Linked DNA regions of Arabidopsis thaliana. The protein of the gene in region 2 purifies or fractionates together with the protein of the main gene of each other region. This does not show direct contact. Each region holds a gene or a part of one and is shown on either strand. Other genes may lie near its edges.

Region 1 (4,181 bases), on a different chromosome or scaffold from region 2:
TTATTTAAATTTAGTTGAATAAGTTGTATAAACTTATGCATAAACATAAAATCATAAAATCAACAAATTTAATTTAACTATTGATTCTATTAAAGTACAAAAAATGAATAATATGATATTAGAATTTATTTCATGTTTTCATATACTAATATTTTATAAAATATTAGTTGAAAGCAAATATAAGATACTAAATCAGCACTACTTTTTTTGTTTATTTAAAAGATAACAAAATATTTTTGTTTTTGTATCTAAGGTAAGTAATTGTAAATAAGTATTAAACAATATAATAATGCTCTTCTTCTATAAATACTAACTCTATTCTTATCGGGGAAATTATGCTCTGATGTTCTGAGAGTTCGCGATCTCCTTGTTATCGTTCTTAGAGTGTGAGTCAGAGATATCAACAATCTAATAAACAATGTCATATCATTTAAGCTATTACTGAATATTTCTTTCAATTTTGATGAGTAAAATATTTCTCATTAAAATTGAAATCCAAGTCTTTATATATCACTTCGTCTCATTTTGTGTGGGTCTTTTAGCCCAATTCGTAATGTGAGCACTTTTGTTTTTCGTCTTTGTTCTTCCTCATTTTTTGCCATATAAACATCCACTGAAGAACAATACATCAAATAATTCTGACCAGAAACTACATAAATATGCCCCCTGGTATCCATTAAAAGGAACTCAGTGCTCACAAAGTCGCAATGGACAGAACAAAAAACCAAACTGTTTTATCGATTTTACTCAGAAAAACGTTTTATTCAGTTTGCTCTCATCCGGTCACCGGAATATTCTTGCTCCGACTAAATCAATCCTTCTTCTGCCAAATGTGAAACAAATATTAAAACACAAGCAACTATCTCTTTTTTCTTTGCGAATATTAGCTGAATGAAAAATGATAACTTACTTAGCTCATCAAAAGAGATTTTGCTAATGCTTTCACCATATTTGATCATCCGAATCTTACCTAAAACAAAGCAAGAGAATCGTAACTCAGCAACAAATTGATGTTCCGGATCAACAATATGAACATACATACCATCACGACGAACGCAAATCTCAGGGATACTCTTCACTTCACTGCTGATGCTATCATTATACACTCTAGTCTCAATATCACCTTCCACATAAACCGACGAGCTGTAACAAAGCACCAGCAAAGAAGTTTAGATGAAAACCTACACCTTTCACTTCCTATTTAGACATTGCTACCAGCATTACATAGAGCGACTAAAGACGAAACAGAGAGATTGAAGACAGATAATGTAGAAGATATTATTCAACTTAAGAGTTTCTGTGTACACTTTTACACATTCACACACATATGAGCTGATTATATCTTAACCAACGGATTTATCACTTAGTTAATCTGAAATTATAACTCTTAAACTATTGTTAATACTCTTCTTTGTTCAAGATAGTTAAGCATATAATAAAACTTACTTTTTAGCGAGTTTTTGGACAGCGTAAGAGCCAAGCACTTCGTTGTGCACAGCGATTCTATGCCACTGAGCTGGTTTTGGCTGATTAGTAGCTCCTACAAGCCTCTGATCAAACATCCCACCTGTTCCTACTGTAAAGATCGTTACTGTCCGCCCGTTCCTTAAGATCTTCTGTAACGGTGCTTGCCCTACTTTCCCACAAATAATCGCCTGAATGAATCAAAGGAAACCAACAATGACATAAAACCGCAAGAACGCCATTGAAAAGCTGATAAGTATATGAAATGATATTGCAACAAGATAACTCAAATCATCGAAATCTAGTTCCAAACTCTTATTCAAGGCACATACATAAAAACCGTTCCTTTTCAATCGGGTTTTTTGCTATAGCTAAGCCTAATTTGATTCTGATATTCTTCAGCTAAGAATGCATAACTTTTAAGTGTTAAAGATCAAATCTTTTTACCCTATGAACACCGCGAAATCCCCAACCTTTACGAGGATCAACTCCATGAGGTTGAAGCTCAGGCCTTTCTGTAACATTTTCTTCAAAATCTTCTTCTACACCTTCATCGATAGGACCAGTAGAGAACCACGACTTAGAGCCTCTCTCAGCACTTATTGCTACACATCAAAGTAACACAAGAAGAAACAAATGATAGTCTTCTGAGAAAAAGGCAGAAGATTTAGGTGATAAGAAAGAAGAATTACCTAAAGGAGATATTGAAGAGGATCTGAGAACCTTGGAGACTCTAATGGCGAGTGAGTTCATTCTGGGACGACTCTAAGGATGTGATGTCTGCAAAAATGAGGGAATTGCAAATGATTCCTCGAAATTAGGGTTGTTTACAACAAATTTGAACCAATTACGATTAAATCACGACGAAGCTGAGAAATGCGAAAGCAGGATTCCGATGTAAGAGGGAAATGGCTTACCAGTGAGTTTGTGAAAGAGGGAACGCAACACAGAGAGGAAGAAGAAGAAGAGTAAAACGACGTCGTTGAGGTTTGATTCGTTAAACCCTGCGTTGAAGATTTTTAGGGTTTTGGGGACAAAACGAAAACGATGTGAACGGGAAACATTTCGGAGGTAGAGGACGACGACGGCAACCTTAGGTTGTGCTATGTGATCTTACCAAATTACCCTTCGTTAACGAATTAATGAAATGAGATGACATGGCCCGTATAGGATTTAACTTTTCAATTTTTTTTAATGAGAATATTTTCATTTATTAATTTTAACTCATTTGATATTAATTTGTATGATGTAAGATTAACTTAAGAGATTACCGTATATATAAAAAATATATTTTTAACAATGTTTAGTTTTAAATATTTTTGTGGATTTTTATTTTTTTAATTAAGTATTAGCCCTAAGCGTTTTGGTATTCGAGTCAGGTTCAGGTCGGCTATTTTGGGTTTGAGTTTAGAAGTTTAGGACCCGTTTGGGTAATTTAAGATTTCAGGTCGGGTTAGGGTTCGAGTTTATTTATATATTAAAATATCAAATTTTGTGTGCAAATCTATTAAATTACTTGAAAATTTTAAAATATTTCCAAAACAACACGAGTAGTTTTGCTTGAATATATCTAAAAATAAACAAAAATAATTAAAATATCCGAAAAAATCCTAATATTTTCTGTATACAAGTATAAATATAACTAATATATACTTATATATGAGATATGTTTGGATACCTATTCAGGTTCGGGTTTTTTGGGTTTTGAAGTTCAGAACCGCTCGGGTCTTTGAAAATTTTGGGTTCGGGTTCGGATCGGTTCTTAGGGTTGGGGTATTATGCCTAGGCCTATTAATTATGTTTTGTTAATTTTTAATTATTTTTAATACTAAATAGGATATAGATTTGATATGTCATAAATATTATTTTGATATGAAAATGTTATCATTCAATATGAAGTGTGTAGAATTTAAATCGAGTTTATTATGATGACATAGATAGTTAAACTGTATTACAAAATTGAATGTGTAAGATATAAATTTATTTTTTCTTTTTCTTTTCTAGATATTAAATTAAATATAGAATGATGATCGGTTACTTTTTAGAATTCAAATATCATTCATAAGATTGAGTGTGTATAATTAAAATAGAATGGATAAGACTGAAATTTTGTTTAAACCAATAATTATTAAATTAAATATCAAGAAAAATATATTGATTATTATACAAATTTCTATCGATAAAACTTAATTTTTGTATCTTAGACCCGCCTAAATAGCAGATGCTGAATTTAAGAGAATAAAAAAGTTAAATTTTTGTATCTTAATTTTTATATAATAAGATTCTATTTTTTTTAAGAGAATAAAAAAATTAAATTTTGAATGACAAATGTAAACATCTGATCGTTTGACTTGACACGTGGCACGATTCTATGAGTTAGTAACTTAATTAGCATATGTAAATTTGTTTACTTTTTAAGATTTTCTATTTTTTTAAGAGAATAAAAAAGTTAAATTTTAAATGACACATGTAAACATCTGATCGTTTGACTTGACACGTGGACACGATCCTATGAGTTAGAAACTTTGAAAACCATACTTTATATAATAAGATAAGATTTTTAAGACTCTAAATATTTGTTTATAGTTTAAGTATACACTAATGCATCACAATGTCACATTAACGTATTTAACTTTACACAACACGTAGGTACGTGGACTTAGTAATGAAAACGGATATACTTTCAATATGTTATAGCAAAAACTAATCTTCCAAGT
Region 2 (4,452 bases):
AAAGATTTCTTAAAAACAGAAAGAGAACTAAAAAACGTATCAACTGAATTGTTTTTAATTTAAAGTGTAACAGTTTAATTATTTTCTCGTTTAATTCAATTTGGCAATTATTTGGACTTCAAATCAAAATCAAAATGATTAATAATTATTTTACAAGAATATCTGATTGACAAGCTGTTAAAGTACAAAGTAAATAAGTGAGGACTTCCAACGAAATCTTTTCACAAACGGCGTCGTTTAAGCCGAAACTGTGATTACCTACCTTGTCCGTGGACTGGACCAAGATCCAATTCTTCTGGTCCAAGTACAAATAGGACGGCATGGCCGTGAGATTGAGCGAGGGTCAAGAGCTAATTTTGGTTGTTTTCGAGGTTCAAGTGGAAATCAAATTTTTCGTAGAGAGAAATAAACGAAAATATACAGTTTTTTTTGGTTCTGCTATAGTCATATTTTACACTCAAAATATTTTTTACAGATAATTTAAGGTAGTTCCCCTACTACCTAAGTATATTTTTTGATTCTTAATCACAGGAACATCTCTTTCTTTTACTTTATATTACGTTTGAATAAAATAGTGGAGTCAAAATTTCAAACGAAAAGTTATAAACTCGATAGTAGATAAACAATGTGTATCACAACAACATAGCTTAAAGTAGTTCCTACCATTAGAGCAGTAGAGAGGAAAACAAAGGACCTTATAATCATTCTTTTATATAATATTCCAATTTGTTGCTAATGCCTCGCAGATTCTTGAGATACAGTAGGCTGCGCTCAATGGATACTCTGAAACTGCATAAATCAAGAAACTTCTTTCAGATTTTTTGTTTCCTTCATTTAAAAACTTTTTTTTTGTTTTCCCTTAACAAAAGTATGAATGAAGGAAGAAGATTTACCCGACACAAATTCATCGATATAGTTGCAGTCTATTTTCCCGTGTGCCATTGCGCCTACCTGAAATGGTGAGACAAATAAGGTGTGGGTTTGCATAAGACCGATATATGGAGGTTGCAAGCTAAAGCCTATTACTACGTAAATTAAATGGACTTTGTGAAGAAGCTAGAGACTAGAGAGAAACATTTGGAGAGCACTAACCACAAAAACTGTGTCTCTATCATCATCACATACAGTAGCTAGGTGTTTCTGCATATTGACGAGTTTCTCAGAGCTATGCGAGAAGCCTGATATAAGAAAGAGACAATCCCTCTTTTTAGCTCACATAATCTGGATAAACAACAAAATGTAGGAGGAAACTAAAGTTTTTTTTTTGTTTTTACCTATTCTGTGGGAGTTAACCGGTAGATGATGTTCTTCGATAGGGTTCTTGACACACCGTAGAAGCTTCTCACGGCTGTTAACTGCAGTAATGCTCAGCTTTTGTAGCAGTTGCACTGCAAGACCAACAAATAGGATAAGAGACAGTAAAAACTGAGGAGGTTAAAGTAACAAAATATCAGAAAGGATGAGAGGAAAGTTGGACAACTAACACATGATTCCGGCAAATCGTTTGAAAGTTCTTGGTATACGAACATGTGGCTTAACTTCAAAAAGGACACCTTTTTCTGTTCTAACATAAACAGCTTTCAACCTCCCAGCTTTATTAACCGGACTATCCAAAATCATAAGAAGCGCCTGAAGAGGGAGATCCACTAAAGATGAGTCACAATTTGTTATAAGCTACCTAGATATGACATAACAGTTTTTAAGACCCTGACCTGATGAGTAATGTCTGGTCGGTAATCAGCCGGATTTCTGTTATTCTTTTTCAAGAAATTAGCATGATCATCCGAGTTCAGTAGCTGGTAAGTCTGCACACAATCAGTAATCACATATATTAGTACCATAAACAAACTCCGAGGCTTACTGTAATGCAAACATTCCTGCAGATTACCTTTCCAACTTTGGCAACTTCAAGAGAGGCCTTCTCAAGCACGAATACAATGCCAGACTTTTCCTTGTTAGGAGCATTAAGGACAATAGGTATCCCTCCCACAATATCCTCTGCTGCTGCAGTTGCTTCCACAGTTACTTCCTCCTCGTCATTATCTTCCTCTGCTCTTGAAGTGCTTTCTTTTTTAGCTTTCTTCGAACTTTCTCTTGCCTTTTGTTTTTGCTCAAACTTTGGTTGCTCCTCTACTTCATCTTCTTCCTTATCATACCTCTCTTCTCTCTCCTTTCTCTTGTTCACTTTAATCCCATACGGCCTCACCATCTTCCTTCAAAAATTTCTACACACAAATTTAAGTCAATCACAACACCACAGAGCTAAAGAATCAGATGCTAAAGAAATATACTACAGTGTCGATGAATTCATACAAAAACTAATCAAATTTCTTTAAGGTTATCGCTACTACAGAGAATCAACTCAATCAATCACAGTTCAGTAGAGCTTAAATTCGAAATTAAATCGAACCCTTTTATGAAAGACAGCTAAAAGAGAAAATAATCGCTTACCGGAACTTTTTGAGCTTGCGAAGAAATTCAAGTGAGCAGGCGACTGAATCCTGATAAACCCTAATTCGAAGTTAAAGGTAGGCGTTTTTTTATTTTTTGTTTTTTGTATTGTTTCACACAGATTATATAATCGTTTAAGGGCTTATTGTAGTAAAATAGGCCCATTAAGTTTTAGGGTTTTTAAAAGGCCCAGAAAAAGAAAAAGAGACCAAGAAACCTAGAATTGTGACCATCGACGTCGACTTTTGTTCTGCCGGAGAGCACGACCGCCTTATGTATTACAAGTGGTGTTTCTTTTCATTTTTATTTTTGGCTTCAATTTTTGCGTTTTCTCTGCAACTCGCCGTCAAGGGTAGAAGAATTAGGGGTTCCTGTTCTTAACTGCTTGAAGATGACGTCTTATGGAGATAGACTGAAGTCGACCTCCATTAATGGAGTTAAGTTATACAATGTTTCTTCTGCTCCCAATGTTCCTACTTGGCTTAATCCTAAGAAGCAACGAGCTCTCCGCAAAAACCCTCGTAAGTTTCACCTCTTGTTTCTGTCTCAGCTCTGAATCGTTAACCCCTTCATAAACCCTGTCTCTTAAAGGCTCGTCCTTTTTTTCTGTCTTCGATGTAAGATTATATGCAAAGAGTGGAGCTGATTCAGGAGTTGAAGTTTGAGACTGCCACTACTAGAATCAAAGCGACTCCAGACGGAGAGTATCTGATTGCTTCAGGTGCGTTTTCTTTCTTTGTAACTTCGATGCTATTGACAAGAAATAATGTTCTCTTGTGACTTTTCACTGATTTCGTTTTTGTTGAATTAGGCATATATCCACCACAGGTAAAAGTTTATGAGCTAAATCAGCTTGCTTTGAAGTTTGAGAGGCATTTGGACTCGGAAATAGTTGATTTCGAGGTACCTTTTATTGCTCCATGAGATGTGTCTTAACACCATTGATAGTAACTATCTTGTTTCTGGTTTTTTAGTATTGTGTTTTGTTGGCTCTACAGATATTGGATGATGACTTCTCAAAGCTTGCCTTCTTATGTGCTGATCGTTCTATTAATTTACACGCCAAATACGGGAAACACCACACTTTACGAATTCCAAGGTACTTTAGCTTTGTTGGTCTATGAGATATATCTTTCGTGGTCTAAAGCATTCACATATTTGCAGGATGGGGAGAGATATGACATATGATTCCTGGTCTTGTGATCTTCTTTGCGCTGCTTCCTCACCTGATCTATATAGAATCAATTTGGAGCAGGTACTTTCCAGTGAATTTATAATAGTTTAGTGTTGTGACCTATCTCAGTCTTTGTTAGAGAATGATTTGTGTTTTTTGCCTTCTTTCTGTTTAGGGAAGATTTCTTTCTCCTCTCAGCACTCAATCCCCAGCGCTTAATGTCGTTTCTCGAAGGTCTGTATACCGAACTGTCTTTTCTTTCTATTATGTTTCTTGATTTCATCTAGGAGAAAATTCGATTCTGGTACTCTAGATTATTATTGCTTACATTTGAGCACTATTTTCTTTCCAGCAACCTCCATGGATTAGTTGCTTGTGGTGGTGAGGATGGTGCTGTGGAATTTTTTGATATGAGAATGAAATCATCTGCTGCTAGAATTAACGCGGTCACACATGGTGGTGATGCTGCTGCGGTAATTTTTTCTAACTTGTGTTCCAAATAAACAGACTTTCTTAGCTTAGACGTCATGTGATTGGTGAAAATTGCATTGATTTCTGATGATCTTGTGCTTTAAATTGGCTAATAGGAGGTTACTGCTATAGAGTTTGATGACAGTGAAGGTCTTCAAGTAGCTGTCGGGAGTAGCGCGGGAAAGGTTTGATGCTATATTCATTTTTTTATCTGAAAGGTTTAAAACATTGGTAGGTCAATTTGATTATATAGATATGTTGTGTTGATTGTGCTGTTCGGTATCTGCAGGTATTCATATACGACTTGCGTACTTCAACTCCCATAAGAGTGAAGGATCACATGTAAGTCTTACTGT

Evidence for each region. The genes of interacting proteins can lie anywhere in the genome.
Region 1: the proteins of AT3G57000 (region 2) and MTSSB fractionate together in Arabidopsis thaliana (co-fractionation; one large-scale study listed by BioGRID). This does not show direct contact.

What each region holds. Positions count from the first base shown.
Region 1 is NC_003075.7:6,754,014-6,758,194, forward strand, and holds MTSSB (mitochondrially targeted single-stranded DNA binding protein), read right to left. Parts: upstream 2,583-4,181; 5' UTR 2,382-2,582; intron 2,245-2,381; 5' UTR 2,218-2,244; coding exon 2,157-2,217; intron 2,070-2,156; coding exon 1,912-2,069; intron 1,656-1,911; coding exon 1,447-1,655; intron 1,144-1,446; coding exon 1,043-1,143; intron 971-1,042; coding exon 911-970; intron 824-910; coding exon 807-823; 3' UTR 502-806; downstream 1-501. UniProt on the Arabidopsis thaliana protein: Binds to ss-DNA.
Region 2 is NC_003074.8:21,090,367-21,094,818, reverse strand, and holds AT3G57000 (nucleolar essential protein-like protein), read right to left. Parts: upstream 2,637-4,452; 5' UTR 2,452-2,636; intron 2,226-2,451; 5' UTR 2,210-2,225; coding exon 1,889-2,209; intron 1,806-1,888; coding exon 1,713-1,805; intron 1,630-1,712; coding exon 1,485-1,629; intron 1,389-1,484; coding exon 1,275-1,388; intron 1,179-1,274; coding exon 1,093-1,178; intron 952-1,092; coding exon 894-951; intron 790-893; coding exon 710-789; 3' UTR 522-709; downstream 1-521. Other genes in the region: EDA7 (embryo sac development arrest 7), read left to right, coding at 2,843-2,972, 3,074-3,172, 3,263-3,354, 3,450-3,550, 3,616-3,706, 3,801-3,859, 3,978-4,098, 4,213-4,281 and 1 more.